7 linked regions of the Coturnix japonica genome follow. The protein of the gene in region 7 binds, or shares a complex with, the protein of the main gene of each other region. Links are inferred from orthologs where the notes say so. Each region holds a gene or a part of one and is shown on either strand. Other genes may lie near its edges. The genes, in order: LIN9, RBL1, E2F4, E2F6, E2F1, LIN54 and TFDP2.

Evidence for each region.
Region 1: TFDP2 (region 7) and LIN9 share a complex: the UniProt entries of both Homo sapiens proteins name them as parts of the DREAM complex. The link is inferred for Coturnix japonica from reciprocal best matches to the Homo sapiens genes TFDP2 and LIN9.
Region 2: TFDP2 (region 7) and RBL1 share a complex: the UniProt entries of both Homo sapiens proteins name them as parts of the DREAM complex. The link is inferred for Coturnix japonica from reciprocal best matches to the Homo sapiens genes TFDP2 and RBL1.
Region 3: TFDP2 (region 7) and E2F4 share a complex: the UniProt entries of both Homo sapiens proteins name them as parts of the DRTF1/E2F transcription factor complex. The link is inferred for Coturnix japonica from reciprocal best matches to the Homo sapiens genes TFDP2 and E2F4.
Region 4: TFDP2 (region 7) and E2F6 share a complex: the UniProt entries of both Homo sapiens proteins name them as parts of the DRTF1/E2F transcription factor complex. The link is inferred for Coturnix japonica from reciprocal best matches to the Homo sapiens genes TFDP2 and E2F6.
Region 5: TFDP2 (region 7) and E2F1 share a complex: the UniProt entries of both Homo sapiens proteins name them as parts of the DRTF1/E2F transcription factor complex. The link is inferred for Coturnix japonica from reciprocal best matches to the Homo sapiens genes TFDP2 and E2F1.
Region 6: TFDP2 (region 7) and LIN54 share a complex: the UniProt entries of both Homo sapiens proteins name them as parts of the DREAM complex. The link is inferred for Coturnix japonica from reciprocal best matches to the Homo sapiens genes TFDP2 and LIN54.

What each region holds. Positions count from the first base shown.
Region 1 is NC_029518.1:14,858,211-14,861,971, forward strand, and holds part of LIN9 (protein lin-9 homolog), read left to right. Parts: intron 1-2,006; coding exon 2,007-2,164; intron 2,165-3,394; coding exon 3,395-3,528; intron 3,529-3,761. UniProt on the Homo sapiens protein: Acts as a tumor suppressor. Inhibits DNA synthesis. Its ability to inhibit oncogenic transformation is mediated through its association with RB1. Plays a role in the expression of genes required for the G1/S transition.
Region 2 is NC_029535.1:564,076-568,504, reverse strand, and holds the start of RBL1 (retinoblastoma-like protein 1), read left to right. Parts: upstream 1-1,531; 5' UTR 1,532-1,623; coding exon 1,624-1,973; intron 1,974-2,081; coding exon 2,082-2,282; intron 2,283-3,391; coding exon 3,392-3,456; intron 3,457-3,548; coding exon 3,549-3,677; intron 3,678-3,789; coding exon 3,790-3,950; intron 3,951-4,429. UniProt on the Homo sapiens protein: Key regulator of entry into cell division. Directly involved in heterochromatin formation by maintaining overall chromatin structure and, in particular, that of constitutive heterochromatin by stabilizing histone methylation.
Region 3 is NC_029526.1:1,548,277-1,552,037, forward strand, and holds part of E2F4 (transcription factor E2F4), read right to left. Parts: intron 2,598-3,761; coding exon 2,536-2,597; intron 2,315-2,535; coding exon 2,029-2,314; intron 1,836-2,028; coding exon 1,644-1,835; intron 880-1,643; coding exon 832-879; intron 1-831. UniProt on the Homo sapiens protein: Transcription activator that binds DNA cooperatively with DP proteins through the E2 recognition site, 5'-TTTC[CG]CGC-3' found in the promoter region of a number of genes whose products are involved in cell cycle regulation or in DNA replication.
Region 4 is NC_029518.1:88,734,149-88,738,656, forward strand, and holds the start of E2F6 (transcription factor E2F6), read right to left. Parts: upstream 2,862-4,508; 5' UTR 2,625-2,861; coding exon 2,559-2,624; intron 1-2,558. UniProt on the Homo sapiens protein: Inhibitor of E2F-dependent transcription. Binds DNA cooperatively with DP proteins through the E2 recognition site, 5'-TTTC[CG]CGC-3'. Has a preference for the 5'-TTTCCCGC-3' E2F recognition site.
Region 5 is NC_029535.1:1,933,122-1,937,527, forward strand, and holds the start of E2F1 (transcription factor E2F1), read left to right. Parts: upstream 1-1,560; 5' UTR 1,561-1,575; coding exon 1,576-1,767; intron 1,768-2,035; coding exon 2,036-2,126; intron 2,127-2,387; coding exon 2,388-2,607; intron 2,608-2,748; coding exon 2,749-2,901; intron 2,902-3,048; coding exon 3,049-3,163; intron 3,164-3,249; coding exon 3,250-3,442; intron 3,443-4,012; coding exon 4,013-4,260; 3' UTR 4,261-4,406. UniProt on the Homo sapiens protein: Transcription activator that binds DNA cooperatively with DP proteins through the E2 recognition site, 5'-TTTC[CG]CGC-3' found in the promoter region of a number of genes whose products are involved in cell cycle regulation or in DNA replication.
Region 6 is NC_029519.1:41,219,555-41,223,315, reverse strand, and holds part of LIN54 (protein lin-54 homolog), read right to left. Parts: intron 3,138-3,761; coding exon 2,992-3,137; intron 1,520-2,991; coding exon 1,364-1,519; intron 1-1,363. UniProt on the Homo sapiens protein: Component of the DREAM complex, a multiprotein complex that can both act as a transcription activator or repressor depending on the context. In G0 phase, the complex binds to more than 800 promoters and is required for repression of E2F target genes.
Region 7 is NC_029524.1:8,761,044-8,764,804, forward strand, and holds part of TFDP2 (transcription factor Dp-2), read right to left. Parts: exon of another isoform or gene 2,502-3,761; coding exon 2,454-2,501; exon of another isoform or gene 1,867-2,453; intron 1,049-1,866; coding exon 886-1,048; intron 402-885; coding exon 255-401; intron 1-254. UniProt on the Homo sapiens protein: Can stimulate E2F-dependent transcription.

The sequences.
Region 1 (3,761 bases), on a different chromosome or scaffold from region 7:
AGTTTTTTTTCTATTTAAGTTTCATAACTTTTGAACCCACTAACAGAACCATTACAGCTTGGAGAAGAAAAGGCTCAGGGTGATCTCATCTATGTGTACAAATACGTGAAGGGAGGATATAAGAAAGACAGAGACAGGCTTTTTTCAGTGGTGTCTAGAAAAAATGCAGTGGGCACAAACTCAAACACAGGAGGCTGCCTTCTGAACATAAATAATTGTTTTATTTTTTTTCACTATGAGAGCGACTGAGCAATGGAACAGGTTACCAGGAGAAGTTTCTGCCTTGGAGATGCTCAGAGGCCATCTGGACGTGGTCATGGGCAACCTGCTTTTTGTCAACCTAAAATAGGCATTTCTGTTTGTTACTGGTTTTTTAATACTTTTAAACAAGAAAATATTGTCAGCTTTTTTCAAGATCTCAGCAGAAATCTTTTGTCTCAGTTTTAAAAGATTTTGAATGGTTCTAAATCATTCGAGTGTGTTATCAAATAATTTTAATCTACTTCTGAAGTATAAGTGTTTGGTTTTTTTTTAGCATCACATGTCTGTTAGAAATTTCCTATATCTATCCTCAGTCATGCTCAAGTAAGATAAATATCATGGCAATACCAATATTTGCCCAGGAGGGAGGAGAAAGCGTGACACTTCATATTCATAGTGCTGATAGCAGAAAATAATAGTGTCTCCATGTTCTTGTGAGCTACAAGAAAGAAATTTTGAAGATTAGCAAAGTGGCTTTGTGAAACAGTTTGAGTGAGGGATATACAGAAGAAAACACAAGAATGTTTATTTCGGCGTATAATAAGAGTAATAAGCAGACTTGGAAATAGAGGAGCTGACTGCTCAATACTACATGAGATTTGAATAATTAATCTTTGAGTTTTTCTCTGGAGAATAGTTGGTGTAGAATAGGGAGCCAGTAGAGAAATTATCAGTATTGTCTAAAATACCCTTGTAAAATGGCGCTTTTTATTGATCACTGATCAATACTTAGCTAATAAGTTCTACAGAGAATGTTTAAATTGCATTTGACTACAGTAAAGCAATTAATAAAGTTGTAGTAAATTATATCATAAATAACTACTTCTGCAATTAGGCAGACCTAATTGTTTTTTGTTACCAACACAGGAATGATTCCTTTATTAATAAAGGAATAGAGATAGGAGCAGTGTCTGTGCTTTCAGTATTATTTTCATGTATCGTGCCTGTTCAGGAGATTAAAAGTGAAAATGAATAAAACCAAATAAAGACCTTGTGAGTAAGTCTGCAATCTCTTAGATTACATTCTAAGGCCAAAGCAAAGGGACAGATGAGTTTTAGAGATGATCTGATTTTACACAAGAACCTTCATCCAAACAAATTTATACTGGTACTGTGATCAGTGTCAGAACAATTAATCTACGTAATAGAAACTTGTGTCTAAGAAATACTCAGCATGAATGCTAGTAGAAGAGACAAGGAAAAGCTCTTTTATGTTGAGTCTGCTGCCCTTTCATACTAAGTTTAACCTTCAAAACTTTCTACTGTGTACAGTAGGTGATGGCAGACAGGTAACCTGACAGTAAGTCCTAAGTACAGGCGTGGACATGGTGTTCAGGATAGGCTGGATATGAGGCTCTCTACAGCTTTGTTGTGAAACCAGATGGACCACAGTAAGGATAAAAAGTCCTCAAAATCAGTACTCTTTTGAAATATTAATGCAAACAGCATTCCCAAGTCTTTCTGGTTGTTCTTTGGATGGTTCGATGTTTGTTTAGGTTTGTTTGTTGTTGTTTTCTTTGTTTTAATTTTGTTTTAAGCGAACTGTTACTCTAGGAGTAATAATTCCAGAGACTCAGAGCATCTAAATCTCTTCATCAAAATCTTTCTCTCTTGAGCACTTCACTTCAAGCTTTTTCATTTACTCTCACTGAGTTGTAAACTGCGCTCATTTGTTTGTTATGTATTTTGTATACGTATGTCTTCAATGTCAAATTTAAGTATAGTTTTACCTCATTGTATTGTAGGTGCTCCTCTGCATTCTTTGAGGAAGAAAGATCAGCATTAAAACAGAAGCGGCAGAAAATAAGACTTTTGCAGCAACGTAAAGTTGCAGATATTTCACAGTTCAAAGATCTTCCAGATGAAATTCCATTACCCCTTGTAATAGGAACAAAAGTTACAGGTAGTTTTTCTTAAAAACTAATAAACAATACCCAAGATTTTTGCAAATATTTTGGTAAACTGCGGTGTTACTTACTGTGCATAGGTGAAATAAATTTAAAACATTAAAAATTAATTGCTTTTGTTGCTAGCTCATTGAGAAAGCGCTTATCGTGATTATCTAGTATTTGTAAAACAACATGGTTTTGAGATAAGATTTTGTGGTTTATTATTTCTGGTGTTGAAACTGTAGTTGTTTATTTTTATTGTTGTTGTTTGGGTTTGTTTTGCTTGAAGTAAAGTACCTCCCAACAAATCCTAGAGAGGCTTCAAAGCCAAGAGCTTAGTGCTGCCTGGAAGTTTAAAATACGAGCTAATATAAAACTTAAGCTTGATTTTCCATAAATATAAAAATACCTATCTGAAAACAAATATACAATTGATATTGCAGTGTAGCTGAATATATATGCTAAATAGGACATTGTCTTATAGAAAAAAGTACTCATAACTGAGAAAGGGATCTTGTTAAAAATGGTTTTTTTTTTAAAGAAAATGCATTCAGCTTTGCTTAATTTTGTAAAAAAAAAAATAAAAAAATCTTGAATTTCTTCTTCCTCTCTGTGAAGGAGGATGCTTTTCACTTGAGCACTGTATCTCCCACTCTGGCCTCTTCATTGCTTCTTCATTGCTTTCTGAGTTCTTCAGCATCCCTGTCCTTAATTCTTGCTGAAAAGCAGGCATACAAAGCACCCTGTATCTTCTCACTCTCATGGACCTATATCCTTCTATATCTTCTTTTTCTCAGTATACAGTCATCACTGCGAGTGGTCATAGAGAGATGGTGTGCAAAATTATTCCAAAATTGATTTTTGCCTGCAAAATCTAATTGGCAGAAGGTATTGGGTGTTAGATAGTATTTTGTTTAGACATAAATGTAGTGCTGAAGATTAGATGTGGGAAATATTTGACTTGCAAAGATAAATTTGACAAAAAAAAAAAAAATTGGGTGGTGTTTCTAGTGGATACAGCTTTTTTCTGGGTTTACAAGTTTTGCTTGTTTGTTTTTCTATATATATGCGTTGGAATGCATATATAAAAAAAGATTACATATCTGTGCCAAGGTTACATGCGTAACATTTAAGTCTGTTCTTCTCAGTGACATCAGAGCATTATAATATTTGAGTTTTTGTGGAGGTTTTTGTTCTTAATATGTTTTTTCTTTCATATGTTTGTTGTTGTTTTTTTTTTTTAGCACGATTGCGAGGTGTCCATGATGGGCTGTTCACAGGACAGATAGAAGCTGTAGACACTCTTAACGCTACATACAGAGTCACTTTTGACAGGGCAGGTCTTGGGACACAAACAATCCCAGATTATGAAGTTCTTGTAAGTATTAATGATACATTCCCAAAATAGCTGTAATGCAAATTCTTTTTTGTTGTTGTTTGTTTGTTTAATCTACAGTTGTGTCCTTTAATCAAGAAGAATGTGTTAATTACATCCAGGTAGTGTTGTCATAAACCAGAAACAAGCATAACAGATGCATGGGAATTTCCAGGAGAATGAGTTTCTGCTGCTGCTTGTTATACAGAATAAGATCACCTTCTCCTAATACAAAT
Region 2 (4,429 bases), on a different chromosome or scaffold from region 7:
GTTCAGTTTTGCCTCCAGTGGAAGCAGAAAAGGGTTTTCTCAGCTGTTAAATCCAAAATCGATATAATTTATTTATGTAAAAAAAAAAAAAAAATCACGATTGCTATATTTTTGAACCTTTTAAGTACTAACTTTCTTTTTATTCAGTAGAAGAACATGTACTTGCCCTAAATCCTTAAAATACAAATGCTATAAAACTTGCTGTATCTTCAAGCCTTACTGTGACTGGACGCAGACATCTCTTCATGGTCCGTTTCTTGCACGGGATGGTTTCTCCAGGGTTACGCTGGTAGGGAACAGGGTTGTAAGTGGCGTTTATTTAATTAGCTGGCATGCTCTGTACCTTGTTCTATTATCAGCCGTGTCCGCTCCGTCTCTGGGTGTTTAGGCTTCTCTTTGACTGCTTTGTGACCCTTTTGCAACCCGATGTGCTCTGTGCATTACTTGCGCTGTGAGGCATTGGCAGCTCCTTCTCATTTTCCATCCTATCCCAAAGAAACGCCGACGTTCCGCGGGTTGTCCTGGATCCCCACACAAACACATCCCCACCAAACGCGCTAACAAATAAAGGTCTGTGCTCTTGGATGTGGATAAAAAGAAAAGGAAAAAAAAACAAAAAACCAACAAAAAAAAAAACCAACAAAAAAAAGATTTAAAGGTCAGATTTTTATTTTTTTAATTTAGTGACGAGATGATGCTTATCTTTCAGACTTGGCAGAGCCTTGCTACAGATGTATATAATTTTTTTCAGCAAATATATGTGAACGTTTAATTCACCTGACTGTGATACCGGTTCCTCGCTTTTCTCTCGGCACCAGCGCCGAGGTCCCGCCGTGCTCCCGCAGCGGAGCGGCCCAAGGCACGGCGGGCTGATCCCGGAGCGCTGCGGGGCGCCCGGGGGCGGAGGCGGAGCCCGGAGAGCGGCCGCGGTACCGGCCGGCATCGCTCGGTGCGCTCGGGCAGCACCGCTCTGCGGGACGGTCCTTCTCCCACTGACACCGCGACACCTGCACCGGAGCCCGGCGAACGCCCGCAGGTGCCGAGCAGCGGCTCGCGGTGTCGCTCCGGCTCAGGGCGGCGCCGTTACTGAGCGGTCGCCGTTCGGTTCCTCGGGCGGACGGACGCGATAAGGGTCAGTTCCCGGCGGTGCGTGGAGCCGTGCGGGGCTGGGGCAGCTCCGAGGTCCCGAGCTGCTGCCCGAGGAGCCGCTCGCACGGCGCCATGTGCGGACGGTCCCGGCCCCGCAGCCCCGCTCGGCACAAGGTGACGCTGTGGGCAGCGCCGTGACACACGAGGCCGCCCCGCACCGCGACCGAGGACGGCGGCTCTGCGGAGCGGCGGGCACAGCGCGCACATGGGACGGGCCCAGGGACGAGCCATCCCACGGACACGGACACGGACACGGACACGGACACGGACACGTCCTGGTTCCGTCCGCCCCGCCCGCTCCCCCTCCGTTACACACACAGCCCCTCCCAGCCCCGCGCTCCCCTCCCGTTTCCCGCCCGTTGGCGCTCACGGCGCCGGAAGCGGCCGCGCCGTTTCCGGTGGTGGGTTTTGGCGCGCAGAGCAGCTCGGCGCGGTGCCGGCCGGGCCGGGTCGGGCCGTTGTTGGGCCGCCGTCATGTCCCGCACGGAGCCGCTGCTCGAGCCCGAGCTCGGCGCCGCCGTGGAGCGGTTGTGCCGGGAGCTCAACCTGGACGCGGGCAGCGCGGCCGAGGCGCTGCGCGACTTCACGGCGCTGCGCGGCACCTACAGCCTGGAGGTGGGCGGTGAGGCCGGGCGTCAGGCCGCGACGTGGCGAGTCGGCCCCGGCCCCACGCGCGGCGTTGCCTTGCAGGGGGACGCGCAGCACTGGTTGGCCTGCGCGCTGTACGCCGCGTGCCGCCGCCGCGTGCTGCCCACCGTGGGCTGCGGGACCGTGGAGGGGAACGGCGTGTCGCTCACCCGGATCCTGCGCTCCGCCAGGCTCAGGTGCGCAGCTCGGCCCGCGGGGCGGCGCTGAGAACGGACGCGCGTTAAAGCCGATAATAAAGTGGCGCTTTCCTCGTCGGCTTTTCTTTCTTTTTTTTTCCTTTTAAGTCTGATTCAGTTCTTTAGCAAAATGAAGAAGTGGATGGACATGGCCAACGTGCCGCAGGAGTTCCGGGAGCGGGTGGAGCGACTGGAGAGGAACTTCGAGGTGTCCACCGTCATCTTCAGGAAGTTCGAGCCCATATTTCTGGATGTCTTTCAAAACCCCAACGAGGAGACCTGGAAACCCCAGCGCAGCAGGAAGCAGAGGTACTGCAGAGCGCCGTGTGGCTTTGCATGGGTTTACAAGTAACGGGAACGTTTGTTGTGCTTAGAAAATAAGGCCGAGCTTTGAAGTGACTGAGTGTGAACGCAGGGATGGTGCAGGGCGGTGGCTGAGGCTGGGCTGTCAGTCCCCCCGTGCCTCTCAGGGTGCTCCGTCCGCGGGGCTCCAACGTGCGGCTGCTTTATGTGACTGCCCGTATGTGAGTGCCAGGTGAGCGCTGCCCTTCTGTGGGAGAAAAATGCAGACAATGTGCTCATCTGTGTGACACTGTAACTGCTTCTGGTGTCTTCCTGATGCACAGAGCGCTTCTAGATTCAAGGGCTTTGTCCTTGTTCTGCATTGACTGTGTGGTTGTCCCTGGTTGCTCTGATGAGGATACGACCTTCAGCAGCAGGAGCTGAGCTGGCTCTTTGCTGGGGGTTTCTGCTGCTTCACGTGCTGGTCTGGATGCAAGGGGTTAATTTGTGGTAACCCGCTCTGGTGTAGCTCCTTGTGCACAAATGGGAAGGGAGCTGCTGCTGCTGCAGCCAGTTCTGCTGCGTCTGCACAAGGAGAAATGTCCATGCACTGTTAATGTTCCTTCATCAGAGCAGCTCTCATTAGCGTGACCGCACTGTTAGCTTCTCTGTCAGGTGGTTTTCATTCATTTCTTCTCCTAGACTATTCACCAGAAGAGCTGCAGTGCAAGTTGTGGTTGCATGTTTTGAAGGGATGTGTGATGCATTAGTAAAACGTTTAGGAGAAAGATGCACTGCAATTGAGAGAGCCCTCAGCATGGCTCTGCGTGCAGCTCTATGAGACTCCAGTTGCAATTACACCATCACCAAAGCAGTGTGCCTGGGGCACCAAGCACAGGCAGCTGTTGGCTCAGAGCAGTCGGTGATGCTGTGCCAGAAGCTCTGCAGAGCTATCCAGGAGGCTGCAGTAAGAGGAGCTGCTCTGTGTGCCCGCAGCTTACAGTGTGCCTTAGTTTGCACTCATGAGGTGATGGCTCTGTCTGTTGCTTTGAGCATGGAAACAGAAGGAAACTTGCTAAGCAGTATGTTTCAGCTTCCTGGAAGCAGAGACTGATTCCCACCCCTCTCGTTGACAGGCGGGTGCTGTGTGGTGTTAAGGATCTCTTCAACTTCTGCTGGACCCTGTTTGTGTACACTAAGGGTAGGCTTGTGCTCTGCAGCCACGTGTTTCGCATGCGTTCTGAGTTACAAACTTCTGTTGCGTCGCCTGACATGATGTGCTGTCTCTTAAAGGTAATTTCCGTATGATTGGGGATGATTTAGTAAATTCCTATCATCTGCTTCTGTGCTGCTTGGACCTGGTTTTTGCAAATGCCATTTTGTGTCCAAATCGGAGAGATTTGCTAAATCCGTCGTTTAAAGGTAGGGTGGGGATCAGTTATTCAAAATGAAATACACTTTGTTCCTTTGGTTATTCTTCTTTAAGTAAAGATGGAGGTTGGTTGTTTTGTTTTTCCCCTTCGCCCATTCCCAGGTTTACCAGCTGACTTCCACGCACTAGAGATGAAAGCCTCAGAGGACCCCCCGTGCATCATTGCCACGCTGTGTGAGCTGCATGATGGGCTTCTTGTGGAAGCGAAAGGAATAAAGGAGCACTACTTCAAGCCATACATTTCTAAGCTGTTTGATAGGAAGGTTCGTATTGCTATTTGAAGGATGTGTGATAGCGCTCATACTGACGGTCCTGTCTTGAACACTGAAATCCCGTGTGTATGGAGGAAGGTGCACTGGTAGGCAGAGGACTTGTGTTGGTTCAGGTCTGTTCCTCTGTGCATTTTGGCAGGAGCGGAGCTGAACTCTCCCTTCTAATGATGAGTGCTGTAGGGCCCCCCTCTGCTTTGGCTTCTTATGTCAGTGGAGAATCCTTGCTTCCTTGGCAGTATGGAAATTGCAGGTGATAACCTGTTTTAATTAAAGATGATGTTATCTTGTGGAGTAGCTGTCATGATTGTCTGGATCCTGGTGTGTGTCATGGGCTAAACACAGTGCTCTGAATGAGGAGGTTGGGGTCACAGGTGGAAAAACTGTTCTGTGTGGTTTTGCTCCTGGAGGTATTTCTAAGCTCCGTGGAGATGTCTCTATTTGCCCAGTAGGTTCCTCCCTGCCGAGGGGCA
Region 3 (3,761 bases), on a different chromosome or scaffold from region 7:
CCATGGGAGGTTGGCCAGCTGCCCACCAGCAAACATCTGAGCTCTGTATATCCTTCCCTAATGGGCCATTAACTGCTCTCTGCTCCACTGCCCACACAAGGCTACAAGCAGAAATTATCTCTGAAACATCGTTCCTTCCTCCAGTGATGTTGAACTTGGCCAACAGGACCACGAAGCACTTGAAAGGTTGGCAGGCAAGCAGCCAGGCCAAGCGTGTGCAAGCGGATCTTTCCCCTTTTAGAAGCGAAGTGTTTGGAAACAACCTTCTGATTCCCTCTCTCACTTCACCAAGTTAAACAGTGATGATCTCAATCAGCCTGGCCAGGCCCTCATCACCCACAAGTGAAGTGATCTTCCACAGAACAAACTCAGATGAGCCCGTCCTCAAGATGCTGATGCACTGCAGGCCATTTCCTAAAGAACAGGAATGTACCCTGCCTAGTTCCATGCTGTGAGATGAGAGGATTTCAACTAGAGGTAACCAGAGAGGAATAATATGAGCTAAAATAAATAGCAGTAAAATACAGAACCTATATTTTTAGACCTTCTTCAGTAGATGAGGGTAAAACAAGCAAAATCCTTCACAGCTTTCACTCCTGGATCTGAACTTCACCCCTCCAAAGCAGGAGGAATAGTCCATAAAACAGCATGCATTACTGCAGAGAGAAATCCACAGTGGCACGCTGCAGTTGAAACAAGACTAACAGGGGTTTTGCTGGTGGCTCTAGATGATGCAGGCAAGTTGGAAGAGGAGTGTGGGAAGGCAGAACACAGATTAGTGCTGGCACAGGGCCTGAAAAGCTCTCATCTGTGATCAGGGTGTGAACGTACCTCTCGTTGGATCAAACATCTCTGACAGCTCTTTGGGAAGCTCCAGCACTGTGAATATAACAAACCAAATGATTGACTTTGTTAAATGCAGCATCTGAAATACTATACAGCTTCATCAGCCGCTGCCCTGCTATCCTCTCAGTCCTTATGCACCATCCCCTTCTAACACATTAACTTTAAGTACTTCTGCATGGAAGGTAAGCTTCGAAGCATTAAAGCACAGTGTCTTATCCAGAGGATGCTCTTCTGTCTGTGGACCAGCCTGCCATTTCCCAGTCTGAAGCTAACACTTCCTCATTTAAAGCCCATTGCACCTCAACAAGCACAGCAGGAAGCTTCCCAGACACATACTGGAAGACAATAAGACCACAAGATTGCTACAGATAGAAGAAGTACTTCTGAGTAAAGGAGAAAAACAGAGAGTAGAGCTCTCCTAATAACCGAACAAGTTACAAGAGTGATGTCAGTGAAGGCTTCACAGTCTCAAAACTCAGACCTAGCACTACAAAAGGGGCTGAAAGAGAATAATCCTACCTAGAACAGCACAGATGCATCACGTGAGCATCCCTTGTGGCTTTTCTGAGCCTAGCATCACAGGTAGTGACACGGCACTAGATGTGACACTGTCATCTCCACACCAGGTTCCCCAGCACCCACACACTGCTGTGGTTTCTCCCCCCAAAGAAATGCCTGTTCACTGCTCATGTGGTCTGGCTGACAGAGTTCAGCTCGTCCCCCTGGAGCCAGCAGCCCCTCCCTCGCTCCCAGTGGCACAATCTGGAGAGACAAACAAACCAAGGGTGCATACTCACTTCCTTCAGGATCAGGTTTGATTGGCTCAAAGGAGGCAGAGGGGCTGGGTAGGACAGAGCTGCTGTCCAGTGAGGCAGAGGACTGCAGCAGCTGCGTGTCCAGCCTGGCTGTATGGCTGCTGGGTGCAGACACATTGCTGAGGGGATCGAGGTCACTGCTGCTCTTGGACTCCAGCACTGAGATGCTGCATTCTGGAAGGAGCCACAGACACACACAGTATTTCCATTAGCACATCCAGTCCCACTAAGATGAAAGCAAAGGCTCGGTGCAGCAAGCACAGAGGTGCTCCCTTTGCCAGGAGCTGACAGTGCTGTATGACCAGGTTTGTACTGCCCTATTGGTCGGCAACCATCCCATTTCTGCTCTCTGCAACCTCCCTCTCACCTGTGTTCGTGTGTTTCTGCTCAGGAGGGCTGTGATCCTGAGTGCTGGAAGGTGTTGGCGTTGAGGGCTGGGTGCTGCTGGGAACAGATGCCTCCTGGAAGTGGGCAAGCGGAGGGATCTGTGGTTTTGAGGGTGCAACTGCCTGGCACTGGATGAGGTCTTCAGGGGGTGGGACGGGTAGCACCACTGGAGGAGAGCTCCAAGCATCCTTGTTTACTAAGAGAACATCAATTGGCCCACTGGTGCTCTTCAGATGGATCTGATATTTCTTCTGCCTACTCGGGCCCTGAGAAAAGTCAGAAGCAAAACACAGATGTACATTAAGAGCTCTTTCCAAACAGATCATCTTGGCAACTATTTAACAGTCAGAGCCTTCCTTGAGTTCCAAGTTCCTCCAACTCCATCAAAACCACAACCACCAACTCCTTCCCAACTCCCAGCCTGCTCAGTGCAGCAGCACTCCCCCATAGCACACAGCTGCTCTCTATCCACGCACTTATCACTCACCTCAGGGATGGGAACCTCTAAGCGTGTGCCTGAAGGGGCTCGAATTGCAAGGAGGGTGTCTCCTGTGAAAACAGAGCAGGTCGGCACTCACAGGGCACAGGCTGTTCCAATGCTGACAAAGAGCCCCTGGCACTTCTCAAAGTCCACACAGCTTTCCCTCTTTTGGAGGACTGCCATTTACACCCACTCAAGCTGCTAAGCAGATTGTGGAGCTCTGAACGTACCAACCCTGAGGGCATAAAGAACCTGCAAAACTTCTTTCCAAGCAACCCTTCCGAGAAAAGTCAAGCATTTTTCCAGCCGATTCCTCCACAGAACTCATTCATCTTCCCCAGTCTGAATTGTGAATAGGATGGCACACAGCTGGAAGAGCTGCCCTGCCAGCAGAGACAGCACAGCAGCCTCACGTGGACCAACACCTGAAGCCGATGTTCCCTTGCCTCTATCAGCAAGAGCTGCCTGGTGCTGGCTGTGTTGGCCCCTGCACAGAGACACAGAGAGCCAGGCTGACAGCACCATCTCCTTTCCAAGTCCTGCAGAACACAACAAACCCAGATGAGCTGCTCCCAATCTGCATCCAGGTTTATATTTAACACGAGAAACATGAATGGGGGAAATACCAGTGCTGTAAAAGCAGGCATATAAAGACCGAGCAGTTAGCAGCTTTCAGTTTGAATATTTAAACTTTAGTGTGGTTTGTGTCCACGCTTCACCAACATCCTGCGTGAAGGACTGATCATCTTCCCTACGATCCACAGAGCAGACAGCAGAACAGCACATCCTTCTATTACAGACAGGTAACAAAAGGTCAGCTCAGCAAAAGTGCAGGGATTAGAAGCACAAGATTTGTGGAGGAGATGGGAGTCCTTTAACAAATCTACACTTAAGGAAAATATTGTTAAATGATGTTAAAAAGGCATAATAAAGCCCAAAGAAAGCTTAAACTTAAAGACCCAACGGCCTCAACATCACAGGCACTGCCTTTCTATCTCTCTTGATAGCTGAGTCCCAAATGTTTTCACAAGACAGTCGGTGCACAGTGTGTTTCCACTTCCTTTTGGTCACTAACAACTAAGGTTTTTGGTGTGGTCTGAGTTCAGAAGCAAACTCTTTTAGGAAGAAAAACAGGTGCAATAAAATGCAAACTGCTCAATGAACCAAGCAATAATCTGTCTGCTGGTCTCCAGGAAGCTCCCACAGGCTGTTACAAACTATCTGGCCCCAAG
Region 4 (4,508 bases), on a different chromosome or scaffold from region 7:
AGAACTGACAGCTCAACAGAGCAATGTGAAGGAATCTCACTCAGTAGAAGAACAGTAGTTGCAATTAGTCGTGGGTTGCTGTGGCTTAAAATGCTCCTTCAGTTACGTGTCTTAACACATGTGCCACTTTTGACAGATGGCTGATGGCTGCACTCAAGTTTATCACCATCCTTCCTGTATCGGTCAGTCCCAAATGAGACACAGCACTCCAGAATCACAGAATTGGTTGGAAGGGACCTCTAGAGATCATCAAGTCCAACCCCCCTGCCAAAGCAGGCTCCCTACACCATGTCACACAGGTAGGCATGCAGGCGGGTCTTAAATATCTCCAGAGAAGGAGACTCCACCACCTCCCTGGGCAGCCTGTTCCAGTGCTCCATCACCTGCACTGTAAAGAAGTTCTTCCACACATTCGTGCGGAACTTCCTATGCTGTACTTTCATCCCATTACCCCTAGTCCTATCCCCATGCACTGCTGAAAAGAGACCAGCCTCACCACTATGGCTCCCACACCCACAGAAGCAAATACTTGACAAGCAAAGGAGAACTGCATACACCTCAGTGCAGGATATACCGATATCTCATGTTTAGCCCACTGTCCATACAGATTCTCAGGTCAGGACAGGACTCTTCAGCAGGATAATTCCATAACATCTCACTTCCCAGCCTTTACCACATCAAGTTACACTTCCAGGTATAGGATTCAGACTTAATTTTCAAATTCCTTGTTCAAGTTGATCATCTCCTTGATGATCCATCCCTCCAGCCTATTCCCAGAGGTTTCTAACATCTCCAGCCTTATCTGTGTCTGCTTTCACTAAACCACTTCTTCCCCTTAGCAGCAAATTCACATTTTCCTTCACTCACCCTTCCTTGGCAGTTAAAAAGCTCCAGTCACCCTCGATGATGTCCTTACAGGCCTCCACCCCTTCATCTTTCCAAGCTGCCTCTCCCAATATTTCAGTGATGTGTTGCCTGAATAAGCTGAGTCCCGAAGTCTGCTCTCCCAAAGTCCCAAAGCACGTGCTGTGCCAGGGGAGGTTCAAGTTCAATACCAGAAAATGTTTGTTTTTTTTCTTGGAAAGAGTGGTGATCCATTGGAAAAGGCTACCAAGGGAGGTGGTACAGTCACCATCCAGCACAGCCACTCAGCCCTTCCCCACGCCTTGCACTCAGTCCCCACAGCACGCTGCAGACATACAAGCAGGTGGAGCTCTTGCTACATACCTCATGGACAGCACAGGAGCAGACCTGAGCTAGATGACCAGGTTAACTTGGTGCTTAACATCACCAGAGTCTGATGAGAGGCTGATTGCAAATAGTGCACTCAGGTCTGAGAAAATACCTGAGAGGGAGAGAGCCCTGGACAACAGGGCACTGTAAAGAGTCTCTGTTGCCCTATGGTGTCCTGGGAGCACCCTATAGAATCTATAGGGCCCCAATTCCTCCGTTACAGCATTTACGGGATCTCTATGGGAAATGGTTTTAAGTTAAAAGAAGGAAGATTTAGGTTGGATGTTAGGGGGAAGTTCTTCACTAGGAGAGTGGTTAGGTCCTGGAACAGGCTGCCCAGGGAGGTTGTGGATGCCCCGTCCTTGGAGGTGTTCAAGACCAGGTTGGACGGGGCCCTGGGCAACCTGATCTAGTAAAGGTGTATGTTTGGCGGCCCTGCCAGGCAGGGGGGTTGGAACTACATGATCCTTGAGGTCCCTTCCAACCTGGGTCATTCTGTGATTCTGTGTGATTCTATGCTCCTATACTCCTGAATGCTCCCCCCACAAAGGCTCTAGAAGGCCCTGGGATCCCCCCTACAGGGCCCAGAACACAAACCCAACCCACAAGGCCTATAACACCTCTATAAGCCTCACGAGGCCACTCTGCCTCACAGCTCCCCATAGGCCTCGGCTGCCGATGCCACTTTCCGACCATCCTTCGCTGCCTTCCCAGCTTCGGTCCCAGCTTCACCACCTCCTCCTTGTCCTTCCCAATGGCCCCCAGCAGCTCTGTCTCCTCTTTCTAGTTCTGCATTTTTTGTTTTTGGCACCGTGTCAACTTGTTCTTTGTAAAGAGACAGAACCGAAACTGTTTTCTCTTTTAAAACAGCTTTTTAAGGGATTACATTTCATCACGTTCCAGATTTTAGCGCTTAAAATGTACTGGGTCTCTATTAAGTCCACCACTCAACTCTCTGCAGTCATATGTACCCATTAATTAGAAGCACTGGTGGTGAAGCACTCCTATTTTGGCTGGGAAACCAAGTTTTAAATCAAACCTCTCCACTCTACCCGTAAAGAGACAGGGGGGTTGGAACTACATGATCCTTGAGGTCCCTTCCAACCCGGCTCATTCTGTGATTCTGTGTGATTCTATAAAGAGCTACATTAGAAAAGCTCTATCCTGACGTCCTCCCGCTCCCAGCAACCCGCAGCGCCGTCCCTCCCCACACACCCCTCCCTCCCTCCGCAGCAGGATCCAAGCCCCAACCCAGCCCATCCCAGCCCCGCCCTCTGGCCGTTCCCAGGCTGTATTTCCATCCCTATTCCCCGCCCGCTCCGTACCGCGCTCAGACGCAGCGTGTCCGGCCGCAGCGGCCTCAGGCGCTCCCACTTGGAGGCGGCGGCCATGTTGGCGCGCCCCCTCCTCTTCCTCCTTCACGCCGGCGGCGGACTTCGATGAGACGGCAGAGCACTCAAAACCCTACCCGATGTTGCTGGGGGCCCGTGCGGGATAAAGGCGCCTCCATCCCCGCCCCACCTCCGGGTGGAGGGGGTGCCGGGGCCGCCTGGGCTCAGCGCTGCGGCCGCTCCTACCCTCCCCCACCTGTGGGCGGCCGGGCGGCGGATGGAGCGTTTGCGCATGCGCGCACCTGGCCAAGGTGACGCAAAGGCCGAGCACCAATCCGGTGCCGCGGGGATTTCCCGCTCTCTCGCAGCGGAAGCGCCGTGTGCATCGTTACCTCAGTGCCCTCATCACTGAGCGCTGTGTGGGGGTCAATGGAACAGGCTGCACAGGGGGATGGACGAAAGACTCAACATGAGCCAGCAGTGCGCTCTGGGAGCCCGGAAAGCAAATGGGATCCTGGGCTCCATCAGGAGAGGGGTGGTCAGCAGGGATAAGGAGGTGATTGTCCCTCTCTACTCGGCTCTTGTGAGGCCCCATCTGTTGTACTGTGTCCAGGTGTGGAGCCCTCAGTACAAGAAAGACATGGAGATTTTGTTAAGGGTCCAGAGGAGGGCCACAAAGATGATCAGGGGGCTCCAGCACCTCCCCTATGAGGACAGGCTGAGGGAGTTGGGTTTGTTCAGCCTGGAGAAGAGAAGGTTGCGGGGTGACCTCATTGCAGCCTTTCAATACCTGAAGGGAACTTACTCCCAGGAGGGGAGTAAACTCTTGGAAAGGGCTGATAATAGCAGGACACGGGGAAATGGTTTTAAGTTAAAAGAGGGAAGATTTAGGTTGGATGTTAGGGGGAAGTTCTTCACTAGGAGAGTGGTTAGGCCCTGGAACAGGCTGCCCAGTGAGGTTGTGGATGCCCCGTCCTTGGAGGTGTTCAAGGCCAGGTTGGACGGGGCCCTGGGCAACCTGATCTAGTAAAGGTGTATGTTTGGTGGCCCTGCCAGGCAGGGGGGTTGGAACTACATGATCCTTGAGGTCCCTTCCAACCCGGGTCATTCTGTGATTCTGTGTGCTTCTGTGACACATCACTGATACCTAAAAACACACACTTTCTTACGGGCAACATAATGCTCTCTAAGTATTCAATAGCAGAAAGTACAGTCCAATAAGGAATGAAGATTATCCTCTTGCTGTTATACTCAACTGGAGGCATATCTTCTCCAATTGGATCGATTTTCGACCCACCACCAGAGGGCGGTCATTCCATTTGCTGAATGGGATGTTTTAACATTCATATAACCTACAACAATGATTTCGTTAAAATTTTCTGGTTTCAAATGCAGTCTCCCCTTAAATGAAATCTTGCAGCTGGGCTTTCCTGTAGATGCATGTGTGCAATTGCAAAGATGAGCCAAAGCTAATATTGTCCTGAAAAAGTGAATAAGTATGAAAGCATTAAAGACAAATTATACATGTAAGTATCATATGGATGCAAGTATCTGTCTATATTTTTGTATATCACAGAATCACACAGAATCACAGAATGACCCGGGTTGGAAGGGACCTCAAGAATCATGTAGTTCCAACCCCCCTGCCTGGCAGGGCCACCAAACATACACCTTTACTAGATCAGGTTGCCCAGGGCCCCGTCCAACCTGATCTTGAACACCTCCAAGGACGGGGCATCCACAACCTCCCTGGGCAGCCTGTTCCACTCTCCTAATTTAATCTCCTATATTAATATGTCTGCTTGTTTAAACTTCCTTATCTCATTCAAATCCTGTTAAAGTTCTGACCTCTACATAATGATTATATATAAAGAATTTAAATGCTACCAAGTGATTTTTTACACTGTAAAATGTAAGAATTAAAATGTGTTTCTGGTAATAGTG
Region 5 (4,406 bases), on a different chromosome or scaffold from region 7:
AACGTTGGCCAAGCCTGCAGCTTGCAGAGCCCTCTGACCCCCCCCAGCCCAGCAGGAGATGCAGTGCAGCACTGGCAGCTATCAGGGCTCAGCACCCATTGGCAGCTTATCACCACCCGCAGCTGTGCCAGGTGGGATTCATCCGCGGGTGGGGAAAAGCCCCCTTTCCCCCCTCAGCATTTGTCGCAGTGACTGTTTTGCCTTTCATTTGTCTTTGCATCTGCCCTTTTCAAGTGCCACAAGAGCTGAAAGCCTCGGCGAATTGGCACGGGGGAGGTTGGGGGGGGGAGCCCGCTCCCCCTGCATAAACTGCCGTATGAATGAGGGAGGGGGGAATAAAACAAACCCGTGCTGCCCCCAGCTGCCCCGGCCTTTGTGAGCGCGGTGGGAGCAGCTGGTGCCGCAGCTGCCGCTCACAGCCCGCGGCCCCGGAACGGCCCCGCAGCCGGGGCGGGTGGGACCGTGTGTCCGGGCGGGGCGGCACCAACGGGCCGCATCTGGCGTGTAACTGCTGCTCGTACCACTCGCTAACGGGGATATCGCCGTGACCGGGGTGCGGGTTATCGCAAGGGCCGAGCGTTAATTAACAGCGCTCACCGCCGCCAAGCGGAGCGGTGCTGCCGTTCGGTGCTGTGCTGCAGGGCTGGGCCGTGGGCTCCGCAGCCACAGGAAGAACGAGCAGCAAAACACCGCTCAGCGTTCACTACATCCCCGCTGTGAGGCACCGCCCGCACCCAGCGCTAACCCGGCCGTCCCGCTGAGCCCCGCTGCGGCCGCAGCTCCAACTCCGGCCCCGCAGTACCGAGATGGGGGGGTGTTTATGTCCCTGTGGGTTGGGCTCCGTTGGAGGCACATTGAGGTTATCAGCGCCCCGCACACGGGATACAGACGGCGGGAGCCGCCCACGCCACGTCCCGCGGCTTTGACTATGGGCTGCCCTGCCCTGCACCGCCCGCACCGCCACGGACACGCAGCTCAGCCCCGCAGCCCGCACAGCGTCACGGGCAGCTCTAGCCCAGCAGTGCAGGGAGCGCCCGGCGCTCAGACCCGTCTGTGAGTGACCCCACGCGGGACCAGCTCCGCGCCGCCCTCGGCCCCTTTAAGGCCCGGCCGCGCTCCTCACCCACGCGGCGCCACGGCCGCGTCCCCGAGACGCCTCCCGATTGGCTCCTGCCTCAGCTCGGCGGTTCTGATTGGCCGCCTGTCAGCGCGTCCGCCGCCGCCGCCCTTAACCAATGGGCGGCCGGCACCGCCCCTCCCTCCGGCGACCTCGACCAATCAGACGGTTTCCCCGCACCCCCGCCTCAGCGCTCGGCGTTGGGCGCAGCCAATGGGCGGGCGCGGGGAGGTTGGCGCCGCTTTCGCGGCAAAAAGGATTTGGCGCGCAAAGGCGCGCGGGGCCGGAGCGCGGGACAGCCCGGCACAGCCCGGCACGGCCCGGCACGGCCCGGTACAACCCGGAACGGCCCGGAACGACCTGGGGAACGGCCCCGCGGATCGGCCCCGCGCCCGGCAATGGGCCGCGCCCCCGCCCCGGCCGCGGCCCCGCGCCCCGCGCCGCCCGTCACCTGAGCCATGGCTACGGCGGGCGGCGCGGCGGGGCTGGCGGCGCTGCTGGGCGGCTCCTCCCCGCACCTCCTCATCGTCTCGGCCTCCGAGGAGCCCGCGGGCGGCTGCCGCCCCGACGCCGACCTCCTGCTCTTCGCCACGCCGCAGCCCTCCCAGCCCGGCCCCGCGCCGCGCCGCCCCACGCTGGGCCGCCCGCCGGTAACCGCGGGACGGGGGAGGGAGCGGGGCTGAGCGGGGCTGAGCGGGCCGCCGGGCGGGGCCGGGACGTCGCGGTGCCCACGCGGGACCCCCCCCCCCCCCCCCGTCAGAGCCCGGCCGCGCGGGGCACCGCCGCTCCGGAAGCCGCCGCCGAGGCCGCCTTCCGCCCGGCAGCGCCGTTGCGCGGGGCTGCCCCCACAGGCCGGGGCCCGGCCCTGCCGCCGCGGTGCGTTCCGCGTCCCCGCGCTGAGGACGCCCTGTCCCGCAGGTGAAGCGGAAGCTGAACTTGGAGACGGATCACCAGTACATCGCCGACAGCCTGCCCGCCGCCCGCGGCAGGGCCCGCATCCCCGGCAGAGGTACGGCCCCGCTGTGCTGCCGGCCTGAGCCCTTCGGGATGGGCCTCGTCACCTCCCTCTTCCCCTCTGCCACCTGCCGTCCCCGTAGAGCGCTGGGCCCTGCCCGGCTGCTCGCTGTCAGGGCTCAGTCTCGGGGCCCTGCAGCACCATCCCCCGAGCTTCCCATTGCCAGCAGCTGCCGGGTGCTGCTCACCTGCCGGGTGTGGCGGTGCTGGGGCTGCCCCGCGCCCCACGGCTGAATCTTGCACCTGTCCCCAACAGGGGCAAAGTCTCCTGGGGAGAAATCCCGCTATGAAACCTCACTGAACCTCACCACCAAGCGCTTCCTGGAGCTGCTCAGCCAATCCCCCGATGGTGTGGTGGATCTCAACTGGGCGGCCGAGGTGCTGAAGGTGCAGAAGAGGCGCATCTACGACATCACCAATGTCCTGGAGGGCATCCAGCTCATCCGCAAGAAGTCCAAGAACCACATCCAGTGGATGTATGTCCATCAGGGTGGGGGGATAACACCGAAGCTGCCAGGGTTGGGTGGAGGGAGGGAGGTTGGGTTCCACCCTGAGATCGGGAGGTGATGGCAGCAGTGGGGTGTTAGTGCTGGGGGTGACAGCCCTGTGTACCCCAGGGGCAGCCAGGTGGCCGCGGGGGCTTCAAGCCGACAGCAGCTGCTGGAGAAGGAGCTGCGGGATCTGCAGGCGGCAGAACGGCAGCTGGACGAGCTCATCCAGACGTGCACGGTGCAGCTGCGGCTGCTCACCGAGGATCCCTCCAACCAGCAATATCCTTCGGTGCGGGGCCGGGATGGGGCTGGATGGGCTGGAGAGCTGTTGGGGAATGGAGCCCCCCCCTGCTCTGACACTTATGGTCACTGTGTGGGGTTTTGGGTGTGAATGTGGCCCCGTGTCTGCTCCTTGACCCGCCGCACCGCAGCCTACGTCACCTGCCAGGACCTTCGGAGCATTGTGGACCCCTCTGAGCAAATGGTGATGGTTATCAAGGCACCCCCAGAGACCCAGCTGCAAGTCTCAGACCCGGCAGAGGTGAGTGAGGGGTCTCTCCTCCCCATGGATCTTCACAGCCCTCGGTACAACTCCACCTTGGCACTCCATGTCCCTCCTGTCCCCAGGCTTTCCAGGTCTCAGTGAAAAGCACTCAGGGCCCCATCGACGTGTTCCTCTGCCCCGAGGACAGCTCAGGGGTCTGCAGCCCCGTCAAGAGCCCCTTCAAGGCACCTGCTGAGGAGCTGTCCCCTGGCTCATCGCAGCAGAGAGCCTCCCCGCTCCTGCATCCTGCTCAGGATGTCAACATGCTGCTGCCTGGTGAGCAAGGTGGGGATGGGGATGGGAATGGGATGGGAATGGGATGGGAAGGGATGGGATGGGATGGGATGGGATGGGATGGGATGGGATGGGATGGGATGGGATGGGATGGGAATGGAATGGAATGGGGGCACTGCCTGGGCTCTGTGGTGTGGGGACAGTGTTATCACTGTTGTTCCAGTTCCAGGAGCACGAGGTTACAGGGCTGAGGTCTTGGCTGTGTGTTAGGAGGAGCCTGACCTCCATGCTCATGCAGTGCCAAGTAGTTGGACTCAATGATCCTTATGAGCGAGTCCTTTTTAAATTGGGGTATTCTGTGATCCACCCAGCTGTGGGCTCTGCTCCTACCCAAGCTTGGCAGAGACAGCCCTGGATCTTTCTGCTTAGGAAAGGACACTGTCCCTCTTTGTCCCACCACTCAGCAAGTGGTCTGAGTCACGCTGCCCAGTTGGCCTGGATGTTTCTGATCACTCCTGATGCTTTGTGTGCCATCTGCATGGCCTCAGTAGCTTAGAACACAGCAGTTCTGGTGTGTGCTGTGGGGCTGACAGCCTCGCTCTGTCCCCACAGAAGCACTGCTACCAGGCACAGCACTGCCCTCCAAGTGCTCCACAGAGGATGTGAGCCTGTCACCGCTGGCCTCCATGGACACCCTTCTGGAGCAGGCCAAGGACGATTTCTCGGGCTTCCTGGCGGATGAGTTCATTGCCCTGTCACCACCACAGGCACAGGATTACCACTTCGGCCTGGAGGAGGGTGAGGGCATCAGTGAACTCTTTGACTGTGACTTTGGGGACTTCACGCACTTGGACTTCTGAGGCTCTTGTCCTGATTTCAGAAGCTATCCCACTGCCAAGGGGGGGGACGCAGGCAGGGCTGAGGACAGCCACGTGGTGCCCTGTGCCTTGGTGTGGCTCTGGTGCCTTCCTGGGGTCCCTGTGCTGCAGCAGCCCTGGGCCCCCTC
Region 6 (3,761 bases), on a different chromosome or scaffold from region 7:
TGATATTAGTATGTCACTGTCAACTGTGTTAAATCTTTGTGGTAAATTTGATTGATACAACAATATGACATTTTTAGAACCTTTAGAACCTTTTCCTAGGTGTTGATAGCTACAGGAATAAAATCTCACTTTACACATACTTCACTAGAGATACAAGTGCAGTCTTTTAGAGAAGTTGTTTTTTTAGAAGGGGGATGGTGGTGGTGGAGGATGCATAGATATTTAAAAGTACTGAAATTTCAACAGCACTCACAGTCTGCAAGCACAGTCACAGCGTTTTATTACGGAGAGACCAGCTTAGGCAAAGTTCCATCTAGCACATAAATCGCTGACTGTCATCCAACAACTGGGAAAATAATATTTAAGTGATGGCTCTTCAAAGGGCATGTCCTTGAGCCCTATGAAGCCAGGAGAAATCCTTACGTTTCAGACAGCTTTAGATCACATCTCAATATGCACACTACATAGGAATCTCAGACTGGTCACTCAGATTGGTTGCTTGCACAAGAGTGATTTTATGTTTTAACAACTTTTTAAAACAATCTTGCCATTTTTACTTTGAAATGTCAAATCGTGCTGGTGTTTATGTCCCCATTTTACCATTCCTATTAACAGAAACAATACTAAGACTATCAACATCTGATGGAGCTTTGGGTCTTTTGCAGTGCATATAACTGTTAAGACTCCCTGCAATAGCCACCTTTCTCATTTACACTTGCGCACTGTCCTTTGTGTTTATCATAACAGGAATACAGACATTAAGATGGAAAAAGATTCCCCTAAGATGACAAAGGGGGTTAAAAAAAACCAAACTGTAGTTTGTGAAACAGCTCAATTCTGTCTTCTTTTATTAATGCAAGTTAACTTAGAAAAATTAATAGGGAGAATCTCGGTATTTTTCTAGTAATAAAGTAACTGATTCATAATTCTGCAGGTCTCAGAGCACAGAGTTTTGCTTACTAGACCCATACCAAAATATGAAGTGAGGCTTGCAACAAACAAACACCCAGAAAGCAGCAGTTCATTGTTGGAAAAGAATCAATTACTCCAAGACTTCTGCCTTCTATCACAGCATGTCTTTAAGATGACATGAGAAATATAATATACAGATACAAGAGTTAGCTCCAAGTGAAGCTTTTCCAGATTGGACACCCATTTTTTCCTATGTGTACACCCTTGGCTGTCAGCCATAGCCAGCCTGTACCTCCATGGGAGGACCACCCGTTCCTCTGCCAACTTGAACAAAAGCCTTTACAAAAACACCTTGGGAATGCCCACTGCCATCCTGCAGATCAGCACCCTAGTCTTCCCATGTGTTATGAGATGCAGACATGCTAAAAATTAAACAAAAGTCAGTCTGTACCTGCGTGGTTGTGTGGTTGACTATGGCCTTCCCAGGGGAGGAGGGTGCTGACTGCTGCACTGTGAGGATCTGCTGTCCTAACGCTACATTCAGTGGGACGCCCACCGTCTTCTGGGGGGAGTTGGGAGGCTGGGAGGCCACTGACACCACTGTTAGCTGCTTGGCAAAACAAAGAAGCAGTTTAAACCTCTGTGCAGTATGCAAACCCTCTATATATATATGTACCTCTAATTATGAGAGGTACAGTTCTCCCACAGTACATTAAGATCTTCTTGTGAACAAAAGAGTTGTAATCTAATCACAACTCACACTGTGCAACCTGACCGTGCAATCACAGCACAGAAAGGTCCCTGCAGGAAGTCAGCACTGCCCCGTTTTGGTTGGAAACTCTGCACACTGAAGCCATAGCATCGTCAGGATGGATTTTGGAATAACAGCTTTATAATCGGCACCATGATGGCTACATGATCAATGGGGATTTTAAAAGATGGAAATGAAAAAAAAATAATCTCACTTTATGCTGTTAATTCATACCAAATGGAAAATACTGAGGAAATTATTTTATAAGTTTCCAGATACTGGTAAGACCCAGTTTTCTGCAGTGTGTCATTTGACTATTCTATATACTATCAGCCCTTCTGTTGCAGTTTCACTGATAGAACCAGGACATCTCCCACTGTTTTCTACCTACTCTTTTACATTTCCTGCTTTAAGTTTTCAGAAAGATCCACAGGTTTTGAAACATTTTTTTAAAAAGATACTTAGAATTATTTGCCTACAGTAAACTCAGGAGATAACAGACTTTTTACTCTCACTCTTCTGATAGTTCTTAGAATAAGACTTTACAGCTTCCCTACATTGTTTTGCCCAGTAATAATTCTGAAACAAAAGCCCTTTGCTCCATTTGTGTAACATTCCACTGCTAATGCACATCCAAACTAACAAAATCTTAACTCTCACATAGGTTTTCATACATTGTACTTAGCTTGCATGTGTTATATATCTTGGTTCCCACTCTAAGACTCATCCTTTCTCCAGCAATATTCTTCTTCTCAAGGGAATTTTATCAGGTCTAAGATCCAAGCATCACTGCAATGCTCATCTGCAACACAGCTGATGATGCACAAGTTACCTTTCTATCAATTGTCTGCCTATACCAATTTCCCAGTCTGTCAAGAATCGTTGCCAATCTCATCTATATCAGTCAACATTAGTGAAGACTAATTTACCTATGGAACACCAGGCAATGGCTGGTAAATGTTAACCTATAAAGTAACTGAGATCTCCTCTTGAAGAGCCTGGTGAATTTTTCAGAAGTTGATAAAAGAAATAGTACGCTATTTCAGCACTTGGCTAGAGGAGAACAGCTGAATGAAACAGGAGAATGGATGCTTCGGAAATGGCAAAAAGTGACAGGAATGGGAAATTAATGCAGTAATGTGCATTGAAATCACATTAAAGGAGCTAGCTGAAAAATCCAGCTTAGGCCACTATAGCAGAGCAGAGCATAGTGACTCACAATGGAGACTCTGGAGTGGCAGATCACAGACAGCTTGCAGCAAAGATGCAAACACAGAGCTTCCTTTGCAGCAGAGACGAGAAGGCTGCAGCTAGAATAAGGTTCTTACCTTGTTAGGAGATTTGAGTGGCGAGATAGCTATCTTACTCGGTGTCTGTTGTGTTGTTGTACTCAAAGATGATCCAATAACTCCACTCTCAGAGATTGTTATTGTCTTTGGTGGTGTTCCTGGAGTAGATTGTGAAACAACCCTGCCTGTAATCAAGAAAGGGATGGTCAGCTGAACTATCACCATTTACAACTTGTAAAGCAAACGCCTTCTCTGGTTAGCCTGTAGCTGATCCTCACCTGAAGGTACATTACCTAGCAGAAAGGACAGTAGAATTCTTTCGAGTTAGATTCAACTAGAAAGTAATCCGCATTACTACAAATAAAAAGATTGTTTATTTAGGTTTAAAAAAGCTGAAAGTTATATCCATCTTTCTGTAACGTTCAGTTGTTGAATCCTTAGAGCCAGCACAGCATCCCAGGGCACAAAGCCCTTCAGTACTCCTGCCCTGCACACAAATACCCCAACAGCTGGCAGCTTGCTAAGAAGACCCCAGGCTGCTGCCAATGTGCAATAAAATGTGAACTGGGAAGGAGGGAGCGGTGTGGGTGCTTCTTTTTACAACTCTGACAGCAGAAACTCTCCATATGACCATGAAAGTGGTGCTTGGTGTCTCTCCACATTCAACTGTGACCTTTTTCCTTCAGTTTGTGTTGGTGTTTGGCTTTTTCACTGCCTACAGAATAGATGACACTCTTGTGAAAATCAGGGTGGAGGTGTAACTCCACATACAATCTGCTTTTACGACAGCAAAGAAGCTTAAACATCAA
Region 7 (3,761 bases):
TAATGAATATTTTGTAAAATAAACAGCTTTTGAAACCTGTGCAAGTTATACTAAATGAAACCAAACCTGACATAGAAAATAAACATGTTGTTTCAGTTTAGTCAAATACCAAAAGCTGTATTTCCATACTGTGCAAGAAGGGAAACCAGTCGGGCTCAAATGGTGCGGAAAAGAAACCTCTTCTGAATTACAGCAGCTCTGTTATAATGACTGACTTATGAACTCTACAGATATTTGCATCTACCTCACTTTACCTCTAGATTCTGACATTCCTGAGCTGAGTTTGTAGGAAGGCCGATCCATCTGATCTCCTTTTTCTCCTTTGAAATTATGTTCATTGCCATCAGCACATTAAGGGCATCATAAACTCTCCGTCTAATATTTTTCTGATCGTAAGCCTGCTAAGAGAACAGTGCAGCACTGATAACTATTAAAGCACTCAAAAAGAAAGCCCACCAAGAAACACATTCTTTGCACCTAAAAGAACAGCATTAAGCCAGAGTGATAGTAAAATGATGCCGTCATCTGTGCTAGTGCTTGGCTGTCATAGCAGCATCTCTGTGCACACAGGAAAGTACAGGACCTACTTGAAGCCTCTGAGCAGCAGCTGCCGTCACAGCAAATCTGTTACCACTGCAAAGCATGACAAGATGCACTGTGGGCAGAGCAGCCTTCAGTGCTTCATTTATTTATTCCAGCCTTCTCTATTTTGCTGATAATTTTGACAGACTGTATTTTAAAAAGGAATTTGATATATAAATAATGTAAGAGTAGGTCATTATATTTCCAAGACAGTTAACTGAGGGAGACTGCGGGACGTGTCAGGTCACACAAAGCCACCCAGTCCTGCAGTGGTAGAAAAAAGACATCCCCACGTTTGCTTACCGAATCCGCAGCCAAGTGGCTGTTGGAATTTGTGAATTCTGATACCAGCTCATCAGCAACTTCGTTGTATGAAGTTGTTCCTTTGCGCTGAACTTTTTCACATACTTTCATGGAGAAATGCCTCAGACCTTTCCCGTTTTTGTCTCCTTTTTTGCTTCTTTTACTGTAAGGAGGAAAGTAATTATTTTTATAAATTGAAATTTAATAAGCTTGCTTTGTTATGTAGCTTTTGCAAGAGTCAAAGAAACCCAAGAGCTTAGCTTGTATCAAAGGAAAGAACAGGAACAATCTGTTTCTTCAGACAATCTAGAATAGAGTAAGAGTGGCCTGGAGCTTCAGGTACACAGCACTGCACACTCCTGGCAGATCCTTACACAACTCAAAATCCAGTTCCTGCTTTTTCCCCATTATCGGCTGCTCCCCATTATGGAAGTTTTCAACTGCAGCCGATGCTGCTCACATCTCACTCAGCTCTCCCTAAGATGGAACATTTTTTGTTTCAAAACACTACATCTTTAGAAGCCCAGGTTATTTATTTTCACCAATTCCCTATGTTTTATATTAATAAGTTAAGTTTTACTCTACGAAGGTTATTTCCTGTTGCATGTAATTTCACTGTATTTCTTTAGGTAAATTTTTATATCTTGCTGTTGTAATTTTACATGCTTTGATTTACTTTTTAATTAAATGCTCTTCAGAGGCATTACATTAACAACACAACAAATGTCAGTAAGTTCAAAAGGTGTGTTTGAGCAAGACTGCAAATCTTACTTCATTCTTGACTGACAGCTTTATGGACACTTGGAAGCAAAATACTAATAAAACATAACCTAATAATATGCAAGACTTACATCAAAAAACCTTTTGTCATTGCATTTCTTAATAAAAACAGTGGAACTACTTGCATGCATTTCACATGCTCAGATGGATTTTCTTTTTTTACAAACATTACAGTTACAGAAGTTGATTTGCCTGTTTCAGGGAGGGGTGTTATGTTGCACAGGCAGACCCGGCTCCAGTGCTATCGAAAATTTTGAATGTATTTAAAGAAAACATAACAATAAAAAATGACAGAAGAAAAAGCAGAAAAGAATAGCAGAAGATTAAAAAAAGAAAACAACAGGACAGCAAAGAAAAAGAAACAGAAAACCCTCCTAAAACCTGCGCAGTTACTCGAGTCATCACTGGTAGGCAAACAAATAAAACACGCTGAACGCATTCCATGTTGGTTGTAGCAACCAACTAACTGGTTGCAAGAGTTTGTCCCACTGAAAGCTGCGAAAGCGAACTGAAAATTCTTGTTTCTGAAGATGTGTTGTGGTTTTCTCTCTTTTTTACAGCTCCAGTTTGGTCTGTAGCAGTAAATGTAAATATATCAGAAATAAATATAAATAATAAGCAAATGTTAATGATAGGAAGTGATACAGCAAAGGGTAACGAATTGTAACTACAAAGAATAACACACTGCACAGCTTTTAGTGGGGAGAAGGGACAGCTCACTAAAGTGGAGACTAGACAGCCAGCTCTCTGAAGGGCTCTGAAGGTAAATTAAGTTCAGTAATACTCACCTTTCTGAAAAATCCGATTCTATAAATTCTCGAGTTCGTTTTCTTTCCCTAGGAGAAGACAATTCAAGCTTACTTATGATAAAAAAAAAAGTTATTTTAACAATAAAATAAATGTATTTGGTGCCTAGCTGAACAATGAGATGTTCAGCGCTTACTGAAGGAAGAAGACAGCACACAGTGTGACAGAATCTGAAAGAAAATGGTAAGGACTTTGGAGGTTGTCTGAGCAGGTAAATAATACCTAAATAAAGTGCTTTCCAACAGTGCAGAAAACAGATCCTGTATTTACTTGATACTGAATGTTTTGGTGTCTTTAAACAAAAAACAACACACAAACTATAAACACACGTACATATTAGAGCTGATGCTATCGCAGCAGAGATACTGTGAAGAAGCAGCTGACATGAGCTTAGCACAGGAGTAGACGTTGCTAATCATTGCCAGTTTCCCTGTAGTTTTGTTATTAGCTGCATCTTGAAGATTTCATAACTTTTATTACAACCTTGTCTCTTACTCTTGCAGCTGATAATGCACAGTGTTTGGGAACCGTCATAGTATGCTACTTCATATTGCTACTCTGTTATTCCGAAGCAGTCTTGCAGCAGATACACGCAGAGCTAAAAAGCTGACAGTGTTAATGAAGAGAGCTGAACTAAAATGATGGCTCTGAAGATGCTGTGAAAGCCTGCATGTATCTGGCTGTGCAATTCAGAACCTCCAGTCTGACCAGTCCCACCTGCAAATGTCTTCCTAGCAGCAACAGCAGCAATTCCTGTCCATGGTGCTTACCAGAGCAAGGTGGGGCAGGGGCTGCAGCATTTGCATGGGACAACAGGGACCTGGAATGGCAGTGAGTGGAGAGCTGCCCCAGATCTGTAAAGCCTGGCTGCCTGGGGTTGTATGGAGAATGAATATGATCTTATTTGTCTCTGGAAACAATTTAGAATCAGTGAAGATGAGGTAAACAATGGGCAAAGCAAGGAGCCGAGGCTTGGAATCCTCTCAGTAAAGTCTCAATGCTTAGATGAGACACTACCAGAGACCCTTCCCACTGCAGTTCTCCAGAGGAAAATGAGACCTATAGTACGGTCTTCTGCAGGGATCAATAATCACAGACCAGTCTGGAGAACATCTATTTCCTTTTAATGAGTGAAACAATAATTAAGCTCACAGGAATAACTGTATCTAAGATTTTCAAAGTTTACAACCAGAAAGTTGCTGCTTCTCTGTGGTGGTGCTGGTAAAAATGCACCAGAACTGGCTCATCCCTCAGTATCTGCATCAGTGGGTTTGGCTGAAGCCAAAGGA